4 linked regions of the Macaca mulatta genome follow. The protein of the gene in region 1 interacts with the protein of each later gene in a pairwise test. Links are inferred from orthologs where the notes say so. Each region holds a gene or a part of one and is shown on either strand. Other genes may lie near its edges.

Region 1 (4,632 bases):
GATCCATGTGCTGGGGGGAAGGGCTGGGGTGAGAGGAGGAGGTAGGAACAACAGGGAGTTAATGATCCTTGAATTCAGCTCCTGTGGGTGGGGTGGGGGAGCTTAACTTGGTTCTGGTGGGGAGAGAGATGGAAGGAAACAAACTCTTCCACCCACGCCTCCCTTGCCACCCCTCTCCTCCAGCAGTCTGGGAGGCCTGAGGAGCTGAGCCCGGTTCTGCCCTCCAGAAGGACCCTGCATCTGAAAAGTCACACCAGCTGGAGAGGGGCTGGGCTGCGAGGCAGGGTGCCTGACTGCCCGGATCTGTCATTTAGGCGAGTTATTTGACTGCAGTGGGGCTATTTCCCAGCAGTTTCACAAGGACTTTCAGTTAAAAATGGTTCCCCATGTTCCTTCTAGCTTTGGCATCTAAACTTGCCTGGGAGTTACGGTGGTCAGGGGAAAGCTCTTTTTCAGGTGAGGAAGCACACTCAGAGAAAGTAAACCTCTTGCGTGAAAGCACACGGCTTAGCTAGTGGGGCCGGGGCTGGAACTGGAAGCAGGGTCCGTCTGACCCCACGCTCTTGCTGTCTCTGCTGTGCTCTGACCATGCTTCCTTGGATGTGGGTCCCTTCTCTGCTCCACAGTGGATACCCCGTTGAACTCATAACCTGAGTATCCATTGGTGGCAGCAAGAGGAATTGTGTTCTTTGGAGCAGAGAAGCATTCCCAAAGATGACACAAAAGTCAGAAATCATTAAAAAAGGATAGGTTTGATTACATTTAAAAAATCTATACAAACTTCTGTAATGATCCAAAATGCCCTGCAATACAAAGAAAAGGAAAAAAGGAGAAAATGTTTGCTATATATTTAAAAAAGGATTAATATCCGTAGTATACAAAGAGCACTGAAACCTATAAGCATTACCCAATTAAAAAAACATGAACTGGGTATTCACAAAAGAAGAAACACAAATATATATATTATATACATGATGAGCATCCTTTTTTTTTTTTTTTTTTTCTTTTGAGACGGAGTTTCGCTCTTTGTAGAGACAGGGTTTCAACATGTTGGCCAGGCTGGTCTCAAACTCCTGCCTTGGCCTCCCAAAGTGCTGGGATTACAGGAGTGAGACACTGTGCCTGGCCAACATCATTTTTTTTTTTTTTTTGAGACGGAATCTCACTCTGTTGCCTAGGCTGGAGTGCAGTGGAACGATCTCGGCTCACTGCAACCTTCATGTCCCAGGTTCAAACTATTCTCCTGCCTCAGCCTCCTGAGTAACTGGGATTACAGCTGTGTCCCACCAAACCCAGCTAATTTTTGTATTTTTAGTAGAGACGGGGTTTCACCATGTTGACCAGGCTGGTCTTAAACTTGCCTCAGCCTCGCAAAGTGCTGGGATTACAGGCGTGAGCCACCCCCCCGGCCATGATGAGCATCCTTATGGGCGATTCTACCCAGCTATCAAAGTGCTTCTCAAAGCTACCAATCAAAGCAACCTTGGCTCCTTCTCAGGACTCCCACGCACACTCCCTGGATCCCCAATCCCAGCTATGTGGGGCAGGTGGGGACCACCTGGCAGCTTAGGGTGCCAGATCAAACTGGTGCCTGGTCCTGAGTGTGTGGCATTACAGAAAGAGTCTTAATGGGGAGGGTGGAGTCTGCGGAGGTTCAGGGGCAGCTGTGGGCAGAGAACATCAGGAACCAGAGACATCAAAATCAAGGGTAATAAAGTGGAAATCACACTAAGGCCTGAGCACCCCCAGCTATTTGGCTTATTCAAGCTGAGTATAACTACAAAGAGGGTATTCCCCGTTTGCAAGTACCGATGTGCCTTTGGTCTCAGCTCCTTCTGGTATCCCTGTGGGTAACACCATCTAGGGCAGGGGCTCTGCCTTGCTAGTGAGAGGAAGGTAAGGGGTCCCTTGCACTGAACTGTTTATATCTCATTGCAATAAGATTCTAGTCCCTTCCTGGCAGAACCCTGCTGCTAGGCCACAGCTTTTTATTAAGCACCCACTATGTGCCAGGCACTGTTCTGAGTGCTGGGGATACAGAGATGAACAAAACACACAAAAATCCCTTCTCTCCAGAGACCCAAGCATCTGCGTTCCAGGGCAGGGGCCTAGGCCCCAGAAAATCAGGGCCAGGGCTAGGAGAGCATGGGGGCAGTGGGGGCATCAGGGCTGCCAAGGTAGCAGCCTGGGAATATCCTGGGAGATATTGGATGGGGGTAATGAACCATCTCAGTGGGCTCTCAGACTGTGTGACCCCAGCAACAAGAGGGCAGAAACAAGCAGGTAAGGGTGGTCAGCACTGACAACACCCGCAAGTACACTGCATTCCAGTTCCCACGTGGCCCAAGAGTATAGGGCAGCTAACCTGGGAGAGCCACAGAGACCGCCTCACTCCCCATTTCACAGCTGTGAAAACTGAGGCCCAGAGAAGGGAAGCTTTTGTCATGATTAAGGAACAAATGAAACTTTGAAGGAGAGACTTTGAAGGAGGGATGGATTCATGCAGGTGTGTGGCCCATTCCCCTGGCCTTACCTTTTTGTTTTTCAGTCCCATCCTCTTGAGGCCAGGAGTGTCTGGCCTTGTTTAACAATCTTGGGGACGAGTACCTGGTATAAGTGGGTGATCAGGCATCAGTCCTGCCCAGACAGTTGGCCTGGGCGTCTTGGAGTCCTTATGGTTAGTGGACAGTATGGAGGTCAATGTGGTCTCAGGGGTGCCACACACCAGCCCTGGGGTCTGGATGTTGGGGAAGGGGGAGGGTGGCCAGGTGGGGGCAGGTCCTCGATCTCTCAGCAGCAAGATGGTCTATGGGTGGAGGGGCCTAGGGGGTTGCAGGCCATGGCCAGTTGGACAGGGTCAGCAACGAGGCGATTGACTCTTGGCACTCCCAGGACGGTGGAGAGATGGGAGAGCCCTCTCTCTGCCCAGGCCTGGAAAAGCAGTGAGCTTTTCCACCTAGCTGGGTCACCTGGGCAACATTGTGTGATGTCACAGGGCAGGGCCAAAGTCACACAGGCACCTGTCCAGGTGCAGTGAGCTAGAACACGAATCTCTTTTCCCTATTCCTGGAGCTGTGTTCCACCTGCCGCCTGGCACTCAGGCCTCACCCTTCCTGTTCTTGGTGCCTCACATAGTCTCCACCGACCCTGTGGCATGGCCAGCCCCATGCCGCTCACACTGCAGCAAAAGAGGAAGCCAGACACTGCTCTCAAGAGCGTGGCAGCTTGATCGGTAAAACAGCTACTTCTGTTGAAGAATCTACCAGCCATCGTGCCTCTTTGGGTACCTATAGTCTTCCATTTATTTGATAATAATAAACACAAACTTCAAGAGGATGGTTTCTTCTGGGAGGGTGGGTGGGAAGATGGGGGAGAGAAGAGGGTAAGAGCATACATTCTAAACCTTTGGGTTTTTAGATTGGGTGGTCAGTTAATGGGAGTTCATTATATTATTGAAAATAAATTAGAATTAAACAACTAAAGAAAGCCATGATGGGCCAGTGATGGCACTAGAGTATGAACCAAAGATTGTGGTTCAGTTCTGAGTGCTGCAAGAAATTATTACGAAGACAAAGTATGTCTTTTAGTGGAGCATTTGCAGCACACCAGGCAGGGTTCTAAGTGCTTTTGGTGAGGTGAGATGGCAGAATGAGGAGAGGCTAGTCGTTGGCCTGGGGTGGGGAGTTGTTCTATAGAGAGGTGAGGTCTGAACTGGGCTTTGAAGGATCATCAGAAATCCTGGGCTAGAAGAGGAGGGATCTGGGGTGCTGGGTGGTGGTCAGAGGTGTTTGGGAGGCCCCTGTGGCCTGCCTCATTTCTACCTATTTTGGGCCCCATGTTGGAGATTCTTTTAATCTGGCCGAAGAGCAGGACCAGCCTGGCAGCCAGGAGGCAGAAGACTCCTGCTTTGCAGAGGCCTCCCAGCCTCCCTCTCTACCCCCCCTCCAGAAAGAGCAGCAGCGAGGATGTGGTTCTCCCCAGGTTAGAGACAGAAAAACTGAGGCTTTGTCTTTGATTAGAACTGAAAGGACCAGCCAAGACCACCCAGACACTGGTGGGAGATGGAAGTCGGGAACCCCACTCCTAATTTTCTCCCCGTCTAGGCCTGCCAAGAGTGGTACCGCTGGGGCTCTGGGACTGGGGGCCTGACCAGGAATGGCCTGGCTGTGAGCACTGTGCTTTATCTCCCTTGTGGGCCAGCATGTCCCAGCACAGTGTGTATGTGTGGAAAGGTCTCAGGGGCTGCTCCCCCAGTCTCCCTAAAGCACCTCTCTCCCAGCCTCTCAGGCCTGCTAAGTCTAGGAGGCTAGGCCAGCAGGGTGAGGGGGTGGGGAGCCATTGCTTCTTCTCCAGCAGCAGGACTAAAGAGGCAAGCCAGGTGCCTAGGAAGCAAACTTTAAGGAAGCACTCACTCTCAGGGCTATGGGAGCGCTCCGTTCCTGACACAGAGCCTCCTCACATTTTGCGCCCTGGCCACCTTGCCTGCCTCACTGTGGTCCCTGCCCTGCCCTGCAGCTCTGCCTCAGTCCCCGGGGCTCTGGGCTGTCACTCAGCTATCCTCCCTGGCATCTGAGCTTTCTGTCTCTGCAGCCACACCCGTGCCATCTTCCTGCCTGGGAAGAAGATAATGCG
Region 2 (4,521 bases), on another chromosome or scaffold:
CCAGCACTTTGGGCGGCTGAGGCGGGCAGATCACGAGGTCAGGAGATCGAGACCATGCTGGCTAACACGGTGAAACCCCGTCTCTCCTAAAAAATTGCAAAAAATTAGCCGGGCATGGTGGCAGGCACCTGTAGTCCCAGCTACTCGGGAGGCTGAGGCGGGAGAATGGTGTGAACCCAGGAGGCAGAGCTTGCAGTGAGCCGAGATCGTGCCACTGCACTCCAACTTAGGCAACAGAGCAAGATTCCGTCTTAAAACAAAAAACAAAAAACAGAAAACATGCCAGGTTTCTCCCATCTTTTTTTTTGAGACAGGGCCTTGTTCTGTTGCCCAGGTCGGAGTGCAGTGGCCGATCCCGGCTCACTTCAACCTCTGACTCTCTGGTTCAAGTAATTCTCCTGCCTCAGCCTCCCGAGTAGCTCAGATTACCGGCATGCACCACCATGCCCAGCTAATCGTTGTAATTTTAGTAGAGACGGGTTTCACCATGTTGGCCAGGCTGGTCTCGAACTCCTGACCTCGTGATTCGCCTGCCTCAGCCTCCCAAAGTGCTGAGATTACAGGCATGAGCCACTACACCTGGGTCACACTCAAGACATTCTTAAAAGATGCTCTCGGCCGGGCGCGGTGGCTCACGCCTGTAATCCCAGCACTTTAGGAGGCCGAAGCAGGCGGATCACAAGGTCAGGAGATCGAGACCATCCTGGCCAACATGGTGAAACCCCATCTCTACTAAAAATACATTAGCTGGACGAGGTGATGGGCGCCTGTAGTCCCAGCTACTCGGGAGGCTGAGGCAGGAGAATGGTGTGAAGCCGGGAGGCAGAGCTTGCAGTGAGCCGAGATCGCTCCACTGCACTCCAGCCTGGGCGACAGAGCGAGACTCAGTCTCAAAAAAAAAAAAAAGAAAAAAGAAAAAAAAGATGCTCTCCACTCACTCACTGAGTTGCTGATCTCCTGTAACCTGGCTTGTCTCCCCACGAACCACTGAAGCTGCTCTTGCTGATATCACCAACAATCCCTTTGCCAAGAAATCCCATGGATTCCTCTCAGGCTTTATCTTACTCGACTTCTGTGCAGCTTTACATGCTGGAGCCCTTTCTGGAACACCCACTCCTCAGGCCTCTCCTTGGGGATGCTGCACCCTCTCTTCTAGCTGCTTGGTCACTCTCCTGCCCTCCTGGGCTCTAACGTTCTGGGCAGCCTGTCCTGTAGGGAGAGAAGAGCTTCCTCTTCTCACACTTCTGTATTGTGGCTATGTTAACACCTACCTCCCTGTGCCCCAGGATCTTCCTTGGAGCGCTAGTCCTACTGCGCTTCTCCACTTCAATGTCTCCAGGTTCCCTTCCTGCACAACCACCTATTCCCACCGTGTTCTCTTATTTCTGTGGATGGAACCACCATCCATCCAGAGCCCAAATCCCTGTCTTGATTCTGCTTGACCTCTTGAGTCTGTTCCATGTCCTGGGGTCTCTCTCTTCCTAACACCCGTGCAACGCGTCCACTTCTATCTTCTGCCACCACCTTAGCTCAGACTGGTAGCATCTCCTGCCTGTCCTGTGCATCTCATGGCATTATTCTTGCTCTCCTGCTGACCAGTGGCGGTCTTACTAGTGTAGGAACATGACTGGGTCACCCCTACAGTTCCGACAACCCTTCATTTCAAGCCCATCTGCCTTGCCGTGGTTACTCAGGCTCTTTGGACTGGGCCTGGCTTCCTGCCTCTCTTCTCCTCCCCTCTTGCCCCAGTGCACTCCTCAGCTTGGCCACCCTGAGCTGCTTTTCACTTTTCACACAAGCCAAATAATCTTTTTCCTCTGCACAGACTGCTCCTTCTTTCTTGGTGCCTGACTAGCCCTCACGCATTCTTCGGTGACTCAGTTTACACTCTTTTCTTCCAGAAACCTCTGCCTGGGCCCCAAGGCTGGGTGAGATAAGGCTCGATGCCCCTTATCAGTGCTCCTGTGACATATGCTACTTTCCCCAGCTGCAGGTGTTCGCTGGCACTGTCATTGCCCATTAGGTGCTTCTGCTACAGTATGAACTCTGCCAGGACAGAACTATGGCACTGGGTTCACAGCGGGATCCCCAGCACCAGACTGTGCCAAGAATGGAATATGTGCCTAAAAGATGGTCAGAGAATTCAGCAACGTTCCCTGAGAGTCATACAGTCTAGAAATACACAGAAGATCCAGACTAGATGCACATATAGATAGCCCTGGAAAGATAAGAAAGGTTAAAATGGATAATAAGGCTATTTGGTGGCTATGAAGCGTTTATTAGAGAGAGCAACTGGAGCCCCCAGCTCCACTCAGGGACGTCCTCTCAAATCCACCTCTGAAGATGCATGAGATAGAGGAGAGCTATTTACTGCACCTAGACTCCAGGCAATGAAAACGGGATGAGGGTCGAGGGCAGGGATCTGAGGAGCCACATCAGGCCAGCCTTACCTTCATGTTGTCAGGGGGGTCTCCTTGGCCTGTAGTTGCACAAACAAATATCACCAGGGGCTCGTTAATCAGATTCACCTCAACAAAAAGACACACACACGTAAGACCTCCGGCTGTAAGGACTGGGCGTCCTTCCCAAAACTCGACCCCCTTCTCCTTCACTCAGGCTGACAGGGCAGAGGAATTTATGTGAGCGGCCAGACCGTCTTCTCTTTCAGGTTCCAACCTCCTCCAGGTGCTAAACTGAACTCCTCTTCCCAAGCCTCCCCTTTCCCTAAATCCGCCATAAGGGAAAGACCCGCTCTCAGAGATAATGCGACGCCTTTTGGGTCGATGACCCCGAGAAGCGGGCACGCCAGGCCTGTTTGTCCCCCACGCCGAGGCCCTAGCTAGCCCTCACCACCGGGTAGGAGTCCAGGGCCTGCACCCGGCAGCCAAGCCGCCGGCGCCGGGCCTCGCGACCCAGTCTCTCCGACACATCCTGAGCCGTGCCTGTCTGGCTGCCAAAGAGCACCAGAAACTGCGGGTTCGGCATCTGGACGCGCCCGGCTCCAGGTCGGAGACTAAGAACTAGAAGGTAGATCCCGCCGGCCGGGATACAGGGACCGCTCCGCCTTCCGCCGTCGACCGGAAGTGACGCACTAGGGACGCGCCCGGTGGGGCATGGCGTCCGATCGAGGCGGGCGTCCACCGGCGGCCAGGGTTGAGTCCCGGGTCGGGGCCAGGGCATTGCCGGCGCACCAGGGCCGAGGGCTGGGGGTGGCGGGGCCGCTCTCTGCCTCTCGCTCGCAGCAGCGGCGGCAGGCGCGGGCGAGGGCCACGGGGAGAGGAGACGCAGCCCCGCGGGTGGCACGCTCGGCCGGGTCCCGGCCCGCGCTCAACGGGCGCGATGCTCTTCTCGCTCCGGGAGCTGGTGCAGTGGCTAGGCTTCGCCACCTTCGAGATCTTCGTGCACCTGCTGGCCCTGCTGGTGTTCTCTGTGCTGCTGGCACTGCGTGTGGATGGCCTGGTCCCGGGCCTCTCCTGGTGGAACGTGTTCGTGCCTTTCTTCGCCGCTGACGGGCTAAGCACCTACTTCACCACCATCGTGTCCGTGCGCCTCTTCCAGGATGGAGAGAAGCGGCTGGCGGTGCTCCGCCTTTTCTGGGTCCTCACGGTCCTGAGTCTCAAGTTCGTCTTCGAGATGCTGTTGTGCCAGAAGCTGGCGGAGCAGACTCGGGAGCTCTGGTTCGGCCTCATTACGTCCCCGGTCTTCATTCTCCTGCAGCTGCTCATGATCCGCGCCTGTCGGGTCAACTAGCCTCACCGAGGTGCCGGAGAGGGAGCGCTGGACGGCTAGAATGCTGACCTCAAGCCGAGGCCCTACTTGCGCCGCACCGGAGGAGAGGCTCTCTAGTCTAAAGGCAACTCCTGCTTGCGCCGAACTGAGTGCCCGGTTTTCCTATTTCAATCCTGCCTGAAATGGTTTCTTCAGCAGGGTTTAAAAGAGCAGCCTTCATCCTGAAAATGTATTTCTTTTTATTTAATGCTTTGAGTAGATAATCCTGAATTGAGGTCCTGAGGAGGCCCCCAGGCCAGGCAGTCCTGAACCCCTCTGACACTTGGAAGCTGAATATAAGTAAAATGTCCCGGTGGACTCTGAGTATTTCCTGTGGATCCTGGGAAAGTACTGTTGCACAGAGGCTGCAAAGCTGGACTCAGGAATGTCCTCCAACCAGCAGCGCTGACCTGAGAGCTCCCTGTGCCGTCCATCCAGACCAGACTTCGGTAGATGCCTTTGTTAGATCAAATGTAAACCAGCTTGTATCTCCCCTGTGCCACGAGAGATTGGCTTTTTATTCCAGTCTAGGCAGAGAGAGAAGAATGTTGAATAAGAGCACGATTAGGGTCCTGTCTGGTTATCTCTTGCCCACGAAAAGAGCTCTGCTGTCCAGGCACTGCTTGGTTTCCTATCCCAGCGAAGACTGCAGTTCCGTGGACCTTTTCACCACCTTGTGGCTGGCACTCTTAGCACACCTGAGACAGATTTAAGCCTCCCTGAGAGACTGAAGAGAGGAACAGGTGTCGGATA
Region 3 (4,332 bases), on another chromosome or scaffold:
CATGCCACCCTATGACTCTGTTACTCCTTTTCTTGTGAGGTCTGATGTCTACTCTCTGTATTTGCAGCCTCTTGGGTTTGGGAGGTACCTCCATGATGATGGAGTTCAGCCCCCAAAGTTCTGCACTTGCTGTGTCCCCCAGGTGTCTGTTTAGAGAAGCATTTCCTCTTAGGGGGAACCCTGGGGGCTTCCGGGGCTGCTGAGTCATTCTCCTCTGTTCATTTTCCACTACTGCAAAATACACACACTCTCCCTGCTTATAAAAAGTAGTGGCATTTTTGCCAGTCAGTATTCAACTCTATTGGTGCTTGTTTTCCTTCCTTCCTTCCTTCCTTCCTTCCTTCCTTCCTTCCTTCCTTCCTTCCTTCCTTCCTTCCTTCCTTTTTTTTCTCTCTCTCTCTCTCTTTCTCTCTCTCTCTTGCTTTCTTGCTTTCAGAAGGACAGTCTCTGTTTTCTTCTTTCAGGAATACTCAGTGTTACTAATAGGACAAGAGTTCCTTAGCATTCCAGAGAGAGAAAAGGGCAGAGTCAGTTGCCGGTTTCTCTTCATAGTTCCTTGAAAAATAGATGAGCCATCTTTCTCTTCTGCCACTTAGTGGGAAAGGACTCTCATAAATACATTTTTTTCCCCCTAGAGATAGTGAGAAGTGACAGGCAACTCACATCTTTATTTGCCTGAAAACATGCAAATGCAAACATGTGACCCACTAGCTGATAGGGGCTGCAGGATTTTCCTCTTTTCCTGAGCCTGGTATGAAGCCAAAACACCATTCCAGCCTGTCAAAATCAAAAGGCAAAATTCTTTGGCTGTAAGAGGCAGAGAGAGTCCAGCCACACTTGCTAGCTAAGCATAGATATGCAATACACAAAGGAAGACAGCAGAGAGATGAATCATACAAATATGTAGTAAATAAATATATTTAATTTTCATCTCAGTAGTTTTTGCTTTGTTGTTGTTTTTTTCTCTTCTATGCCAACAGTCTTGAAATGGAGGTGGGGGCGGGGTGGAGTGTGTGAAGAAATAGGTTTTGGCTGGATACAGCTTCAATAAGGTCTTGATAGTTCTGGCCTTGTTGCTCAGCTCTAGCTTTTTAAGAAAAAAAACTTGTAGATTCTTAGATTAGAAACCTTTCTTTTATTATTATTATTATTATTATTATTTGAGACAGAGTCTCACTCTGTTGCCCAGGCTGGAGTGCAGTGGCACGATCTCAGCTCACTGCAACCTCTGCCTCCCAGGTTCAAGCAATTCTCCTGCCTCAGCCTCTTGAGTAGCTGGGATTACAGGTCCATGCCACCACGCCTGGCTAATTTTTGTATTTTTAGTAAAGACAGGGTTTCACCATGTTGGTCAGGCTGGTCTCGAACTCCTGACCTTGTGATCCACCTGCCTCTGCCTCCCAAAGTGCTGGGATTACAGGCATCTGCCACGGTGCCTAGCCGATTAGAAGGCTTTCTAATTCAACCTCTCTCATCATACAGAAGAGCAGTCTGAGATGCAGAGAGGGGACTGATAACGAAGTCATAGACCCAGGAAAGTGACTGTTTGTAGGGGTTCTCTGGTTCAACAGCCCCATGCGATGCTGGAATAACCTAGACAGGCCAAGCTGACAAGAGGGCGGGAGAGTGAGTCTGGAACCGAGACATGCCCTCCCAGGTCACAGCGCTACATTGAAGAGAAATAGACTATGCCTTCTTGAATTTCGGACTGCATTCTCAGTAGCTGAGGCCCTACCTGGCAGCAAAATATCTGGTCCTGGCTCTGCAAGCAGTTGTTGCCTCTGGCATGTTAGAGCCCTTGGCCAAAGGGTTGTTCCTGTCCTCTTGTTCTCAAGGATAACTAACCAGCCTGCAAGTACATAGAGAAACCAGTGCCTGGGCCCACCGGGCTGCAGGCACTCCGGAGCTGGATCTTTCACAATCTCCAGACCCAAAGGTGGCCTGGTGATGATTTGTTTATCAAACTGCGGTTTCCCAGCCCACTGCCTGCCCACACCCACCTACCCTCCCGCCTGCCCACAGGCCAGCTTCCCTGCTCTTCCCACCTCTGGGACAGGCAGTGCCTTCCAGATGTGTGCAGGGAGGTCTCCTCAGAGCCCCCACAGTCAGACAATGGCCACACACTGCTTCCTAGGCCTTCCCAGGCAGTGCTAGAAGGAAGACAAGCAGCCTTCCCAGCAGAGGCGACCGGAGCCGCTGATAAAATATTGGCAAAATTATCACGAAAAACCAGAGTCATGAAGCTATCCCTCTGCCAAGGAGAACGGAAAGCACCAAAAAGGAGCCTGGGGGTCATGTGTCCAGAGATGCCAGGCTTCCTTCCTCTTTCCAGGCAGCCCGAGCGCAGGCTCCCTCACCTCCCGCCCCCACCCCTGTTCCCATGGCAAAGGAGAGGAGGATCCACTTACTGCTCGTGTTCATGGTGATGTCTTTGCACTGGGTCTTTCATTCAATACGGAGGCCCCGGCTGCTTTTTAAATCTTCAGTTCTTCGAACCTCACTCATCACCTGGGGGGTGAAAAGGCAGTCCAGTGCCAGCTCTGTATCCTCAGGTGCTCTCTCTCCTCTGCTGTCCCCTCTCTGTCTGGGCTGTAGCCCCTGGCCTTGAAGGCGCGTGGACTAATAGGCGCAGGTGAGAGCAAGGAGGAAGAGGCGGCAGGACACCGGCGCCCCGGTCCTCCTGCTCCTCAGATCGGAATCCCGGGCAGAAGTGGGGTTGCCAGCGCCTGCTCGCGCGCACCCCGGACTATTCCTGCCCAGAGGCTCCGGAGCCCAAAGGGGGTGTGGACCACAGGGAGGCAGGGCGGGGGCAGCGCGTCCCCGCCCGGCCTCAAGGAGCAGCGACCCGCCCCGGAACCCACCTCTCGGCCAGTGTCGGGAGCCAGAGGCCCCTGCCCCGGCCCCTGCGACTGATTCATGAATCCTGGTCCTCGTCTGGGGTCTCGAATTCCAGGGCTAGCAATGCGAAATAGGAGAGCTCGACATCCATGATGCGGGCTCGCGGGTTGGCAGCGCGGGGGGCGCGGCCGCTCGCTGCTGCCACCTGCTGGACGCACCGGCGCGTGTCCGAAGCCCCGCCCCGCCGGGCTTCTGCCTGGGCCCTGGGGTGTGATGGGGGATGGACGAGACCCTGTGTCCTGGGACCAACGAGGGGGTGCTTGAGCGCTTGTTTTCCCTCCCTCGATCCTGGGGTCTAAGGGCTCGACAATGATAGGAAAAGAAACATCATTAGAAGGGGCTGTGAAGGAAAGCCTGGCTTTGCAGGAAGACAGTTTCCATCCGGCCCTGCTGCTGGCAAGCTTGGTGCAGTCTAGGCTCAAGTCGGTCACTACCGTCGCTGCCTCATCTTTCTCAACTGTGAATATGGCGTCTGCACAAGTGGATGATACGTAAGGGGCTCCTTCAGCCTCCCAGCATTTATATCCCCTCTTCCCTCACTGATTCCCTTTATCCCCTATCACTGATTCATCATTAGAATTGCTTATTACCTCTCTTCCCCACGAGAATGTTAGCTCCACGAAAGAATGGATCTGTCCGTAGGGTTCACTACAGGCCCCCAATACCTAGAACAGGGCCTGCCATATAGTAGCTACCAATGAATATTTGTTGACAGATCAACCCAGACATTTTCTGGGTTTAATATTACACAGTCCTAAGAGTAGATTGCCTAGGCGCTCCACCCTGAAACACTTCCCCATCTGAGGAGAACAGCAGGTATGTGGCCTCACAGGTCCACCCTAGTTTTTGTATGGCCAACTAACTCTTCCCCCAGGTTTTTTGTTTTTTTTTTTTAATTATATCTTATAGGTGTGTATTGTAGAAGTTTATATTCCAAAGTTTTTTGGTCACAGTTGATTCAGTGGGGTAGGGCTCTTGACATTCCTGTGACTACTTACTCTGTCACTTTCTGAACCTAATTCATGATCATAGAAGTGTGACTTTTGAGTGCTGAAAAACAAGACTGAGAGGGTACATGATCCTTCTCTATAGCATGGCTCCAATTAGAGCATGTGCAGACTCAAAAGGCTGTGAACACTCACAGCCCCAGCTTAGACAAGGAAACAGGGGGTCAGAGAGGCTGGGCAACGTGGCCTAGGACACACAGCATCTTGTGGCGGAACCGGACCAGATCTTCTAACTTCTAGCTTGATCCTGTGTGAGAGTGGCTCAGTGCACTAGAGTCTGGGATGTCAGTGTAAGATTAGATAGCTGCTCTATTAAAATTGGGGAAAGGTAAATACAATGTTTTTATACAATGCTTTTAGATAAATACAATGTTTCTACCTCACGCAGGGAGGAAAAAATGGATATGGCTCATGACCTCGAGAGGTG
Region 4 (4,438 bases), on another chromosome or scaffold:
GGCGGAGCTTGCAGTGAGTCGAGATAGCGCCACTGCACTCCAGCCTGGGCGACAGAGCAAGACTCTGTCTCAAAAAAAAAAAAAAAAAAAAAAAACTCATCCCTATTGCAACAGTATCACCTTTAGGAGGTGATTGGGCCACGAAGGCTCTGCCCTCATGGATGGAATTAACGCCCTTATAAAAGGACCTGAGGGAGTGAGTTTGGCCCCTCTTGCCCTTCTATCCCTTCTGCCACGTGAAGACACAGCAGTCCTCCCATCCAGAGGATGCAGCAACGCGGTGCCATCTTGGAAGCAAAGAGCAGCCCTCACTAGGCACCAAACTGCCTGGACTTCCCAGCCTCCAGAAGTGTGAGAAATAAATTTCTGTTCTGTGTAATTACCCAGTCCCAAAGTATTTTTATAGCTGCACAAATGGCATGAGACAGAAAAGATTTAGAATAAAAACACTTAAGAGAATCAAAACTATAGTTGGGGAAAGCCTCATTGAGAAGATGGTATTTGGGTAAAGTCCAAAGGAAGTAAGAGTCATGTGGGTGTCTGGGGAAACAGTATTTCAGGCAAAGGGAAAAGCAAGCGCAAAGGCCCTGAGGTGAGCAGCGGGGAAGCAATGGGATATGGAGTCAGAAAGGGAAAGCAAATCATGAGAGAAGTAGGACATAGTGAGACCAGATGCTGTAAGGCTGCATAGACTATTATGGAGCTTTTGGCTTTTAAACTGCGTAAGATGGGGAACCACTGACCAATTTTGAGCACAAAAGTAACAAAAGCTTCATTCAAGGGAATCAAACACATCAAATCCTTTAAATATGATTAACATATCATTGTGTCACTGAGTTAAATCTATTAGACATAGTTGTATCTAAAAATTAGATTTAAATGATACAGGATGAATCAATATTACTCTATCTTACAAAGTTTTTCATGGCCTCAAATCATTATCAACAGCAAAGCTGGTGATTTCAGGGCTTGGAGATAAGGGTTAGTGGCTTGGCCTCCTTCCTGGAGTCCCTACTCATTATGCCTCCTGCTGACATTTTTGAGCACAATCCACCCAGACACCCATTTGGTCAAGGGCCCTAAGCCAGATTCTCACTTCCCAGTTGCCACTTGTGTGGCCAGAGAGGTTCCCAGGAATAAAGACATCTGATCCCTGCTTATCAGTGAGGGGCTCTTGCTCCAGTCCACAAATGCATCCATACCTGAGGCATGGAGGAGATTAAGACTGGAGCAGAAGCTTGCTGGGGATTTTGGAGGCGTTCCTGAAAAAGATCAGTTAAGGTTTTCAGTGCAGGGAAGCGCTGTGTAAGATTGGCCCTTCTAAAGACTCCTCTGGAGGTACCTTAGGAGGGAAGGCAGGACGGGAACAGGAGGTCCTGGGTGGCTATGTCACCCTGGCCTAGAGGTGAAACGCCATGCTTCACACGTGTTCCCTCATTTGCAAAGTGGAATTACCGTCAGCCTAAGTGGTTGTTTTATGTGAAATTAAGTGAAATAATTCATATAGGTGAAAGCACTCCATTTAAAGTTGTGCAAATATAGAGGTTTATCAAGCATAGTGATACTGACGTGTGGTTAGAAGCCCACCAGGTGTGTGTGTAAATCTACCGCTTCCAAACGCGTCTCAGAATGATGTGGAGTAGGGCCATTGGAACAATCAGCGATAAATAAGCGCATCTGAAGGGGAAGGGAACAAGCCGCTGACTAACTCACAAAAGAGGCGGTCAGCATGGGTAGAGATGAGCATGTACGGTTCCGTCCAGAAGCAAATAGTTGGAGCTCAACATTGGTTAGGCGCGGTGAGTTAGCCCTCGGTTTTCTAAGCCCAGATGTCGCATCTTGACATAAAACCAAGGATGGAGGCTGTACCGAGAAATTCGGGCTACTGCCCTGGGAGCCAGGCTCACCGGCAGCGCCCCTGGCCGCGCCCGCAGAGGCTCCGGCTCCGGCCCCGGCCCTGCCCTCCTCGCGCGCCCCCCCGGCGGCCGCCCGTTTTTGCGCCGCGCAGCCCGAGCCCCTCCGGAGTCCGCGGCGCTCGACGGCTCCAGACACGCCCGGCGCCGTCCCCGCCGCCTTCCCGCCGCCGCCGCCAGGAGGCTCCGCGCGCCTTCCCGCCTTTCCCCGGGCCGGGCCGGGCGGCTAGGCGGGCGCGGGCGGCGACGGCGCGGCCATTGTCCCGCAGCCCCTCCCGGGCGCGCAGGAGGGGCCGGCCTGGCGGGCTGGGCGGCGCGGCCGGGCGCGGGGAGGGGCGGCCGGGAGCCGGTGCCCACCAACGCCCGCCGCCGCCCCGGGCTCGGCCCGCCGCCGCCGCCCGCGCGTCCTCCGTGGCCGCCCACAGCCCCTCGGAGCCGGCGCCGCCGCCGCCGCCGCCGCTGCGCCCCGGGCTGCAAATGGCGCCCGCTCGCCTCGGCGCCTCCCGCCGCGCTCCCGGCCCGGGGACGTCTTGGTGAGGCGCGCCCAGGGCCCGCATCTCAGCACCGCCGCCGCCCGGGCCGTGAGAGCCCGCGGCGCCTCCGCCCGCGGCCAGGCTCGCGGCGGGTCCCGGGCAGCCCCGACGCCCGCCCGCCCTCCGCCGGCGCCGCGCGCCGCCACTTACCGCGGGCCGCGGCGCACCGGCCGGTCGCGCGCGCGGGCCGGGGGAAGATTCTTGGTTCTCGGCTGGGGAAGGACCCCCTTTCGAGGCCGTTCCTTTGCGCCCTAAAACAAGTAGCCCCAACGTGAGAGAAACAAAAGGTATTTGCTGACGTGGGCGTTGGACAGAAACGCCCGAGGGCTGGGGACACAATTAAAGGGGCAACGCACAGATTTCAGGCACCAACCAGCAGCTTCGCCCACTCCCCCTGCCCTTGCCCACACCCGCTGCACGCTCCAGAGGCACCGGGGTGCCCAGATTCTCTAGCAGTTGACTGCGGATCATGATTTTAGTCAGGAGCTGAAATTTAAAATTGTACTTTACGTTGGGAAAGGCGCCTCCGGAGGGCAGAAGGGCTGGATTTCTAGGATCTGGGGAATTTGGTTTAGGAAAGAGGGAGGGACTTAGGCGTGCCCACAATTACTGTATAAGTACATGTGACATTATTGTACTTAAGTTTAGCAACGTCAAATGCAAAAGATTTCCACAGAGTTTTCTCTTGTATTGAAGCAGTTGTTTTAGTTGAGGATAACCTTTTCTAAACCTCTACAGGTCAGAAGCATTTCATTTGAAGAGGAAAACCCAGAGAAGCTAAGAGAACATAATTCCTAGTTTAAGTCCAGAGAAATACAAAATTAGTAAAAACAGCAAGTTCCGTCTTTTCCAATACAAGCATTCATTGTATACCAAGCTTCCTCTGACAAATTTACATCTCTAATATTTAGAGTACAGATATCAGGTTATACATTTGCTAAAATAGTAAATCAGTGGATTTTCACTGTTACTATAGATGCATTACTTCTATAAATTAGTTTCCTAGTTCCTTATGCTGGGGTCAGGTACTGAAAAGTACTGTGTTATAGTAAAACTGGAGGAAAAAGGTTCAAATTATCAAAACTTGGGTTTAGCTTTTAATGGATTCCTCTCCTGTTCATAATCAGTCATATTGGACAGTCTGTAACTTTGATTTCAGGAATAATTATGCATTTTGAGGATGCAAGATCTTCACAATTGTCTCTTAATGTCACTTCTGTGTCACTGCAGAGGTGCTTTGCTATTTAGTTGTGTTTCCTTGCCTTCTGAACAGGTAAGTAGAAACATATTTGAAAACCATTAGGTATCAGGTATATTGGATGTACTCAGATTACTCTGCTAGCGCCCCCCATTGAGAATTCCCCCAGAAAGACCTGGACATGGTTATAGCCAAAGGTTTGATTTTAGCCTTAATTAAAGATTAATGCAAAAGAGTTCCACAAACTTATTCCTCAAGAGAGCACATCAGGTTGGTGATAAACTCTTAGTTGTGGCCGGGCGCGGTGGCTCTTGCCTGTAATCTCAGCACTTTGGTAGGCCAAGGCAGGCGGATCACGAGGTCAGGAGTTCGAGACCAGCCTGGCCAACATGGTGCAACCCTTCTACTAAATATAAAAAGTAGCTGGGCATAGTGGTGCGTGCCTGTAATCCGAGCTACTGGGGCAGCTGAACCAGGAGAATGGCTTGAATCCAGGAGGTGGAGGTTGCAGTGAGCCGAGATCGTGCCACCGCACTCCAGCATGGGTGACAGAGCAAGACTCCATCTCAAACAAACAAACAAACAAACAAAAAACTTTGTTGCAAGGAAGAGGTAATGACAGTTTTGTCCCTCATCTTCATTCTGCTAGCTTTGGGAGCTTGTTTCTCTATGTTGGGGCTCCATCATTAACCAGTGCTAGTCTCTTAAACTCTGACTGCCACCCTACCCCACCCCCATCCCTGTTTCCACCTCTTCAGTTCAAATCTTGAGGAAGATAATCCATTCCAATTTTT

The links.
Region 2: the proteins of CCDC33 (region 1) and NDOR1 interact in a two-hybrid assay, tested with the Homo sapiens proteins (2 studies listed by BioGRID and IntAct). The two-hybrid records come from large-scale screens. The link is inferred for Macaca mulatta from reciprocal best matches to the Homo sapiens genes CCDC33 and NDOR1.
Region 3: the proteins of CCDC33 (region 1) and ABLIM3 interact in a two-hybrid assay, tested with the Homo sapiens proteins (2 studies listed by BioGRID and IntAct). The two-hybrid records come from large-scale screens. The link is inferred for Macaca mulatta from reciprocal best matches to the Homo sapiens genes CCDC33 and ABLIM3.
Region 4: the proteins of CCDC33 (region 1) and ZBTB8A interact in a two-hybrid assay, tested with the Homo sapiens proteins (2 studies listed by BioGRID and IntAct). The two-hybrid records come from large-scale screens. The link is inferred for Macaca mulatta from reciprocal best matches to the Homo sapiens genes CCDC33 and ZBTB8A.

Annotation. Positions count from the first base shown.
Region 1 is NC_133412.1:52,149,305-52,153,936, reverse strand, and holds the start of CCDC33 (coiled-coil domain-containing protein 33), read right to left. Parts: upstream 2,940-4,632; 5' UTR 2,555-2,939; coding exon 2,534-2,554; intron 1-2,533.
Region 2 is NC_133420.1:5,246,869-5,251,389, forward strand, and holds the start of NDOR1 (NADPH-dependent diflavin oxidoreductase 1), read right to left. Parts: upstream 3,023-4,521; 5' UTR 2,986-3,022; coding exon 2,851-2,985; exon of another isoform or gene 2,529-2,850; coding exon 2,451-2,528; exon of another isoform or gene 1,081-2,450; intron 1-1,080. Other genes in the region: TMEM203 (transmembrane protein 203), read left to right, coding at 3,340-3,750. UniProt on the Homo sapiens protein: NADPH-dependent reductase which is a central component of the cytosolic iron-sulfur (Fe-S) protein assembly (CIA) machinery.
Region 3 is NC_133411.1:158,102,835-158,107,166, reverse strand, and holds the start of ABLIM3 (actin-binding LIM protein 3), read right to left. Parts: upstream 3,023-4,332; 5' UTR 2,862-3,022; intron 2,509-2,861; 5' UTR 2,422-2,508; coding exon 2,409-2,421; intron 1-2,408. UniProt on the Homo sapiens protein: May act as scaffold protein. May stimulate ABRA activity and ABRA-dependent SRF transcriptional activity.
Region 4 is NC_133406.1:208,334,598-208,339,035, forward strand, and holds the start of ZBTB8A (zinc finger and BTB domain-containing protein 8A), read right to left. Parts: upstream 3,023-4,438; 5' UTR 2,957-3,022; intron 2,740-2,956; exon of another isoform or gene 2,698-2,739; 5' UTR 2,597-2,697; intron 1-2,596. UniProt on the Homo sapiens protein: May be involved in transcriptional regulation.